Linked DNA regions of Nothobranchius furzeri. The protein of the gene in region 1 interacts with the protein of each later gene in a pairwise test. Links are inferred from orthologs where the notes say so. Each region holds a gene or a part of one and is shown in the gene's direction. Other genes may lie near its edges.

Region 1 (4,554 bases):
ACTCATTTGGCTTGATCCCTCACAGTAACAAAAAAGGGCACTTTTGGCATCAGGGGTCTGACTGATGTGGAGGGTGGCTGACCAAGCGTTTGTTTTTGACGTGCTGGGAGTGAGAATGTGTTGGCGGCACAGCTCCATGAGCCGCTCACCGTGTCTCGTTATTGGCACTATTTAAACCAATGTTGTAAAATAACTTCTGCCCAGCCCAGAAGTGCTCACATGTGAGCCGTGGCTTCGCTGGAACGCGTCTAACTCTGAACTTCAGATCTTCAGCGCGCTGTTAATAGCCTGACACGTTTAGAATGCTGTCCCACAGTCAGTGTGCTAATATAATAATGCTAAAATGCTCAGATGGGAATCATTTCTTGATTTATTTAGTTACATTCACAATGTTCTGTGTGTGAGGTTTACAATGTCAGAACACCTGCATGAGACAGGGTGTTAATTACAATCTGCCAGAATGACTCACCACCTTCAGATTTCTCCAACACCATGAAAAATGATCAAATACGGAACATATCTTGCTATTAACGGCGTGCGCAGGCCAGAGTGCCGATGCTCGGCGCATTATTATTATGAAGCTAGGGCGCATGCGGAGGACACACTCACACACACACACACACACACACACACACACACACACACGCAAAATATACTTGTTTTCAATTGTATTTATTGGGCCCACTTACTTTTTCTTAAGCCCACCCACAAATGAGTTTCTGGCTACGCTAATGATGACATTTGACAGACTTCTCTGAGCTCCGCAGCCATTACACTTTTCACCTCGCGCACCCCCTAGCGGCAGCTCGCGCACCCTGGCACCACACTTAGGGAATCCCTGATAGATAAAATATTTGATATCAACTTTTTTTTACCTTCTCCCTTAAAAATATTATGATGTTAACATCCTCATGCTGTAGAAGTTTCCCTCGAATTACTTCTCCTTAAATGGATTTTAATCATTTAAATGTAGTGTTCAGGGATTGAAATTTTGTCCAAGAGACCAAGACTGACAGTTGTATGTTTCAATTATTTATTTAAAAAAAACAGTGTAGGCCTTGGGGCTGCATTATTTTAATGTAGTTTGATTTGTCTGTAGTGTACATTATGTTTGAGGCCAGAAGGTGTTATGAAGAAAACTATAAACCACAATTAGGGAAATATAAACTTAAAACTGTGTTCTATTTGTGCCATACTAAATTACAAATGTGGCCATTTTTTAATCAATCAACTGTTAAAATGCTGAATGAGAAATATAATCTAAATTGAGTGTTTAAGTTCAAAGCATTTATGTAAGGTTAGATTATAATTCTCATAAAAATAAAGCAAAATCACTGCTGCCTCAAACAAGTGGGCTTATCAGGTTAGTTTGAGTCTGGAGGCAAAACCGCTAGTTTCCTTCACCGGCTCAGAGCGTGGTGTTGCGTTTCCTCCTTTCCTCACAGTCTCCGATTCTTAAGCGCTGGTTACGCAACATCATTACGCTGTTCTAACTATTAAAGGCTCAATTACGTCGTGGACGTAACGGCTCCTCGTGATGGCGACCGTACCGTAGATGTGCCTAGGTTTGTGAAAATGAAGCGAAGAAGAACTTATTTCTTTTGAGTCAAACGCTGAGGTTCCCTTGAAGAGGGCTTTTGGTCTGTAACCATCATCTATATACGCGGTAAACTTAGCTGTACTTTTAAACTTTTGCGCTTGCGAAATGATTAAGCTCAAGTCCAACCAAACCCGGACGTACGATGGGGACGGCTACAAGAAGCGGGCCGCCTGTCTGTGCTTCAGGAGCGAATCTGAAGAGGAGGTGAGTCCGGTGATGTAGCTGTCTGCTAGGCCATGCTAAGGTTAGCCGGCCGTAGGTACTTACCGTCTGTAAATCAGTACATTAATGAACATAGCTGTGATTGTAATGATTTTTAACTCTTATTCCCGGTTCATATGTAGTTCACCACGTATGTGTATTTAAATTAGTTTTTGCCCATACTTATCTAAGTGTTATGTAAGCCCCTTTAGCTGTACAAATGGAAGCCTATGTGTTTTGCATTATTGGACCGTTAGCTGCGTGCTAATGCTAACTAGCCAGGTTGTTGCTCCGGGCAGCCGGCTGTCAGCCAGCAACCACAGCCTACTGAATTGGCTCTGCTGGCTGACTTGTAAGACATGTACAAAATGACGATTTTGTTTTTAAGACAATTAAGAAAATGTGTGTATTTATTCTGGTTTATCGTGGCATGTTAAATAACGCCTAGTGCAATGAAACAGATATTTTACCCCATTGAATTGTGTAGCTGGAATAGTTTAAACTAACAGGTCGCTCCGTTTGTGGCGAGCCACTTAACATACATAGGAAATAATTTAGGTCGTAAACTTTATAACATTGTAGTAGTAGCGTCAACTGAATGATAGAATAAAAATCCGCTTTAACTAAGGTTTGTTAAATTTTTTTGAAAACTGACTGCCCGTTCCTAAGCAAGAACAAATGTGTTTGTAATAAAAGAAAATGCGTTACAAACAAAATTAGAACTAAATAAGAGACTCGTCCTAGATAATAGAAGATAGATTGTGAATAAAATGTGTTGTTTACAGGAAGTGCATCAGTGTCGCACAGATGAGGTGTTTCCAGTGAAATTCTTTAACCTTTAACTTCTTATACCCGTACAGGAAACAAAACAAACTAAAGCCAGTGCTTGGGTAAACGATCATGCAAGTTCATCCAGCAACTTATCACTGTTGTGACAAAGGCATGTGATAATTGATTAATGGCCCACACTTGAATAGCGCCTCTCAGAGGAAGGACTCCAAAGCGCTTTACACTACAGTGCATCATTCATCCAGTCACACACACATTCACACACTGGTGATGATGAGCTACGATGTAGCCACAGCTGACAGAGGCGAGGCTGCCGAGCACAGGCGCCACCGGTCCCTCCGACCATCACCAGCGGGCAAGGTGGGTTAAGCGTCTTGCCCAAGGACACAACAGCAGAATTCTCTGTCCGGAGCCAGGATCGAACCTGCAGCTTTCTGGTTACTGGTCAACCCACTCAACCTCCAGAGCCACTGCTGCCCTCAATGTTGCTTTATTTGATTAGTTTAGACTAGTTTTGTCAAGTTGTATGTTCTATGTGACGAAACAACAAGCAAAATATCTGTTATATTTAATCTGTGCTGTATGGGATAGGTGCTGTTGGTGAGCAGTAGCCGACATACCGGCAAGTGGATAGTTCCTGGAGGAGGAATGGAGCCCGAAGAGGAGCCCAGTGTTGCTGCAGCTCGAGAAGTGTGCGAAGAGGTTTGTTCTGGTGTGTTCTATCCAGTGTTGTTTTTGGCGTGCATCTTAGTTTTAGTCTTAGTCTTGATGACGAAAATGCATTTTAGTCTTGGTTTTAGTCGACTACATCTTAAAAAGGTTTTAGTTGACAAAGGGTGTTTCTCAATGTCAAGGCGCCTTGCTTACAAGGACACTGTCCTTCCTTGGTCAAAGAAAATGGTTAAATGGAACAGACTTGCATCACGTGACCGCGGCTTCCACGGCGGTCACGTAACGTCACGTGGCATGGGAGATAACATATTTTATATGTATTACTTTCAATGTAAATATATAACGAGCCTTTTACTTTTTAAATTGTGTATGTTTATTAAATTAAAAATATAAACGAGTTATTACCCGCTAGCCACCGAAGCCGCAACTAACCAACAATAGATAACTTCTTTGGATCTAAAAAAAGCATTTTAAATTAATTGACTTACTTTTAAACTTGAAAATTGTCCCTGAAGTAGCTTCCGACTTCTGATCCGCCGTCTTTTTGAAAATACCGCGGTGTATTGTGGGTAATTTTTGACCAAGGCTAGGCACAAAGCACCTCCCATGTATCCTTGCTCAGCTAGCTAAACGGCTAACAAACGGAGAACACATACCTCGGTAGAACATGAACATAGGAACCGATTGGAACACGTCTTGGCGGCTCCCGATGACGTATCACCTAGGCAACCAGGGCGGGGCCAAGACATCAAGGCAAGGTTCCTTGGCATTGAGAAACACCTAAAGATTTTTGTTTTTAATTTTCCAAAATGTTAAACAAAGTGTTATTCTCTAACAAATTAATTTATAGGTCAGACATGTACTCTGAGCTACTGGAGTGAGTTATTGTTTATTTTATGGCTCTGGATTTTACAGATTTTGTAAAACAATTATCCCCAGACACATATCTTTTTTTTATTCTTTACTTTATTGATAATCACTATATTGTATATAATGTATTGATGCAGATCTGTGCATCATTCTGTAGATTTTCATAAAACAAATGTATGATTTTCTTTCCTTAACAGAATGGACTTTCAGGGGGAATACAGAGTATTATGCACAATATTTAAATAGAAATAAAGAAATTTGTTTATTTATTTATTTAATATTTCAGTTATCAGACCTCCATCTTAGTGTCTTTAAATTTATATTTTGGCAAAGTCCACCTACTTAAATACAGTCATGTTTTTCCATGGAGCTGCAGTGTTGTGAGTTTTCACGAGCCTACAGAATTAATATAAATATCCCAG
Region 2 (4,582 bases), on another chromosome or scaffold:
AAACCTGGATCAACACTGCTTTTTTTCTTTTCCTTCCATTCCGCTTCACAAGCAACTCCTCTGATTTAACAAATGCTGGTTATTTTGGCGACATTATTTGCTACTGAGCTACAATCAATCAGCATCCCGCTCAGCAACTTTAGCATGCCATTCTGAGTACATACCCCAGGTAAAGGTACTATTGGTTCTTGAATCAAATCAAATCAAACTTTATTTATAAAGCGCTTTTCATAAAGAAAATGTAACTCAAAGTGCTTTACAGATTTAAAAAAAACTCATATCCCACAAATGTCATTGACATTAAAAACAAAACCTCCCCCAACCCAGTGACACACACATACACACACAACATGGTTGAGAACATAAGTAAACGCTGGGCTGAGCTCAAATGAGTCAGGTATGTAAGGAAACGGCATCAGGGGAGCCATCCGCCCCAATAGTAGCACAACCATGGCAGCAGGCAGGGCACCGATACAGGGCGTCCAGAGGAGGGAGGGCGAGGGCCCCACCTACACCCAAGCACTACCTGGAGAGCATCGAGGCCGCTGCCACCGACCACCGGCCCTGAGGAAGAGGGCTCCCACAGAGTAAACACTGTAAAGTATTCGAATAAGTAAGAGAATAAAATAACAAGAGGTAATATGAAAATATATAAATGGCGGTCAGTACAATTGTAAAAATAGTAAAACAATAAAAAACAGATATATAATTCTATTCAATTCAAAAATACTTTATTAATCCCAGAGGGAAATTGATTGCTGTAGTAGCTCAGAATAATAATAATAATCAAGTCGTCAAAGAGTTATTGTATATTACAATGGCTGTTGGCAGGAAGGATCTCCAGTAGCGGTCAGTGTTGCAGCGAAACTGAAGAAGCCTCTGACTGAAGACACTCTTCCGTTGTCGGAAAAGTCTTGTGAAGAGATTGCTCAGGGTTCTAAAATGGCCTATAATGCCCAAAGTAAAAGAAATGCAATTTAAAATTCTTAACAACTACTATCCATCAGCAGAGACACTGAGGAAGGGATTTGGTTTTGAAGTTGACCCTTGTGAATTCTGTCAAGAAAGCCCTGAAGGAACAGAACACTTATTTTTCAGCTGTCCTGTCAGTAAGAGGTTTTGGGAAAAAGTCCATTGTTGGTTAAGAAATAAAATAAGAGAACTTGATCATTTTACAAATGAAGATATTCTAATTTACAATTCTAAATTAAATGGGAATAATTCATTGTTAATTAACATTATTATTATTATGGGTAAATACCACATCCACAAAAGCAAATGGAAAAAACAAATGCCAAACATGAACTGTTTCACAAATGAATTCCGTATGTTCTTATCCCCTTTGACTCGTAAAAAAAATTCAAATGCAACTGCAAAAGCCATTTGTCATGCTGCAGAAAAATGTTTAATCTTGAAACAATGTTTTTACTTTATGATATAAGTGCCTCTTTTTTAAGTTTCTTATTTGTTTTTCTTTTATTGTTACTAAGGATGCCTTGTATGTTTCCATTATGTGTTGTTGTCTCACGAGAAATTGTAATAAGCATTTAATGATGATAATAATAAAAATAAAAAATAAAAAAAAGCTGTCCGAAGTAAGATGGCCGTCGCGTACGGACGTCAGGGTCCAGAACGACCAGCGCGGCGAGGGATCTAGTTAACGTATGATATCTATGGGAAAATGGACCTGACGGTTTGTACGTATAAACGTCACAGCCACGCTTCTTACGCACGTATATATCCCAAAGTCCCGCCCCTTCATCTTCCTTTTCCGCTGTGGGAACGTAAACGTGCCTGAAGTGCTTGGTTCTTCATCTGAAGCTAAGGTCCTCAATCCGGCGACTAGCACAGTCAAATTTAGGCATCCGACGCTACTACCACCACCTTTGATATCTACAATGGCCTCCGTATCTGAGCTCGCCTGCATTTACTCCGCTCTGATCCTCCACGATGATGAAGTCACCGTCACCGTGAGTGTCCCGGTTACTCACGACTGCCGTTGCGCAAATTGGAAATAACACAAGAGGGTGTTGACGCAATAAAATACTCATTAGATAGTTCGTGTTAGCATATTAAGGCGAGCTGTAAATTTCTGTTATACTATTTATCAGCCGGTGTTTACCGGTTAAAAATGGCGGAATGGCTAACTAGGCCCTGTCAAGCTGCTGTACAGTTAAGCGATGATCAAAAGCGAATTTCATGTATTAATTTGGCAGTGAGGTTCAACTACTTACTGTTTTATATACGACCTCACTAGTTTTTTACAATTAACAGTTGATGTCCCACATCATTACATTGCTTTAGTGAGTATCACTTTTAAAACTACTGATATAGTGGCTTGACATGTTTTCTGGATGTTACGTTGCTCCTATCACCTTTTGGTAGCACTTAAGCCCTGATAAATCTGATAGGTTGTAAAACTAACATGTGAGCCATAATGCACATTAGAAGCAACTTTCAACTCCTTGAACAAGTAACTAAAAGCGCTCTGGTGTATTAATAAATTAAGGCTGTCAGTTTTGTTTTGACAGTTATTTTCCCTTTAGCAGTACGTGTGCTGAAAAGGAAAAACACATTTTCAAATTGTGTGACTCTGTGCTCACAGGAGGACAAGCTGAATGCCCTGATCAAGGCTGCTGGAGTCACTGTGGAGCCTTTCTGGCCAAGTCTGTTTGCCAAGGTGAGAATGTGCTTGACACATGCAACTTCTTGACCATATGATGGAAATGTGACCCTCAAAAGACGTGTGCATTAACAGGGTTTTTCCTGCGTTCAAATTAGTGGCCGCTTCAAACTAATTTTGTGCCGCCCCAGCCTGATTTCACTTTGCCCCCTTGCTATATGGATGTTTTATTAATAATAATAGTAATGCATTGAACTTATATAGCGCTTTTCAGGACACTCAAAGACGCTTTCACACACACACATTCACACACTGCTAGTGATTGTAAGCTACTTTATAGCCACAGCCGCCCTGGGGCGGTCTGACAGAGGCAAGGCTGCCATTTGGCTCCGTCGGCCTCTGACGACCACCAACACAGGCAAGTTGGGTGAAGTGTCTTGCCCAAGGACACAACAGCAGAATACCCCTGGCAGGAGCTGGAATCGAACCCATGACCCTCCGATCTTGAGGCAACTTGCTGTACCACCTGAGCTACTGCTGCCCCCATTTTAACTGCAGTTGCAGCGTTGCGCCACTACAGGGGCGCTGTATCAGCAGCGGTGCACCGAAAAGCACTAAAACCACTGCAGAAAAGGATCAAAAATTGCTTCTCTTGCTATTTGGTAAATGGCCTGTATTTGATATAGCGCCTTCTAGAGTCCTGGAACCCCCCAAGGCGCTTTACAACACAATCAGTCATTCACACACACATTCACACACTGGTGGGGATGATCTACAATAATAATAATAATAATGCATTGAACTTATATAGCGCTTTTCTAGACACCCAAAGACGCTTTCTCACACACTCACATTCACACACTGCTAGTGATGGTAAGCTACTTGTAGCCACAGCCGTCCTGGGGAGGTCTGACAGAGGCGAGGCTGCCGTTTGGCGCCGTCGGCCCCTCTGACCACCACTAACACAGGCAAGTTGGGTGGGTGAAGTGTCTTGCCCAAGGACACAACAGCAGGATACCCCTGGCGGGAGCTGGAATCAAACCCATGACCCTCCGATCATGAGGCAACCCGCTCTACCACCTGAGCTACTGCTGCCCCAATGTAGCCACAGCTGCCCTGGGGCGCACTGACAGAGGCGAGGCTGCCGAGCACTGGCGCCACCGGTCCCTCCGACCACCACCAGCAGGCAACGTGGGTTAAGTGTCTTGCCCAAGAACACAACGACAGCGACAGACTGAGCGGGGCTTGAACCTGCAACCTTCCGATTGCGGGGCGAGCACTTAACTCCTGTGCCTCGTCGCCCCATATCTATGTTTGGTGCTATTGACATCCTGATTTTCCCCCAGGCTCTTCCATATCAGAGCAGGGAAGAAAAATATATGATGATCGTAAAACTAAGAAAGGCTAAACTCTACAAGCGGATGAAAAGTCCCCACCATCCTGTTCATTCTGCATCCTGCAGCGCTACGGATCAGAACCGCTGCAGAAACGAGTCACATTACTGCTACAAGTCTGCTCCACACACTGGAGCAGGAAGTACGGCAAGCCGTTGTGGTGTATTGTTCACAAACGCTTCTATCTTTCAACATAATTTAAACTGGATTATTGCAAACCCGTACATAAGAAATGCCACCATTACATTGTTAGCAGCAGAAATTAAATGTTATTACCATTTCCAATACAAATGCATGTTAATGAAATGCATTATAGTTTACTGAATATATTTGTGTTATTTTGACTAAGATGAGTGTTATTCATACAAACCTAAAATATTATCTTAATGTAGGTCAAATATTTCTAAATCTTATTTACTATAAATATCAGATAGAAAAAAGAACTAAACACCAATCTAATGCTTGTTATTGAGCCTTTTATAATAAGATTCTGTTAGTTCAGCCTGATAATTTTGTTTTATTTCATATTTTTAGCAGCAAACCAGTTTTGTTTCACTTGAAACGT

What was found.
Region 2: the proteins of nudt3b (region 1) and rplp1 interact in a two-hybrid assay, tested with the Homo sapiens proteins (2 studies listed by BioGRID and IntAct). The link is inferred for Nothobranchius furzeri from reciprocal best matches to the Homo sapiens genes NUDT3 and RPLP1.

What each region holds. Positions count from the first base shown.
Region 1 is NC_091743.1:70,852,797-70,857,350, forward strand, and holds the start of nudt3b (diphosphoinositol polyphosphate phosphohydrolase 1), read left to right. Parts: upstream 1-1,492; 5' UTR 1,493-1,705; coding exon 1,706-1,804; intron 1,805-3,181; coding exon 3,182-3,292; intron 3,293-4,554. UniProt on the Homo sapiens protein: Cleaves a beta-phosphate from the diphosphate groups in PP-InsP5 (diphosphoinositol pentakisphosphate) and [PP]2-InsP4 (bisdiphosphoinositol tetrakisphosphate), suggesting that it may play a role in signal transduction.
Region 2 is NC_091759.1:4,062,066-4,066,647, forward strand, and holds the start of rplp1 (large ribosomal subunit protein P1), read left to right. Parts: upstream 1-1,755; 5' UTR 1,756-1,898; coding exon 1,899-1,970; intron 1,971-2,605; coding exon 2,606-2,680; intron 2,681-4,582. UniProt on the Homo sapiens protein: Plays an important role in the elongation step of protein synthesis.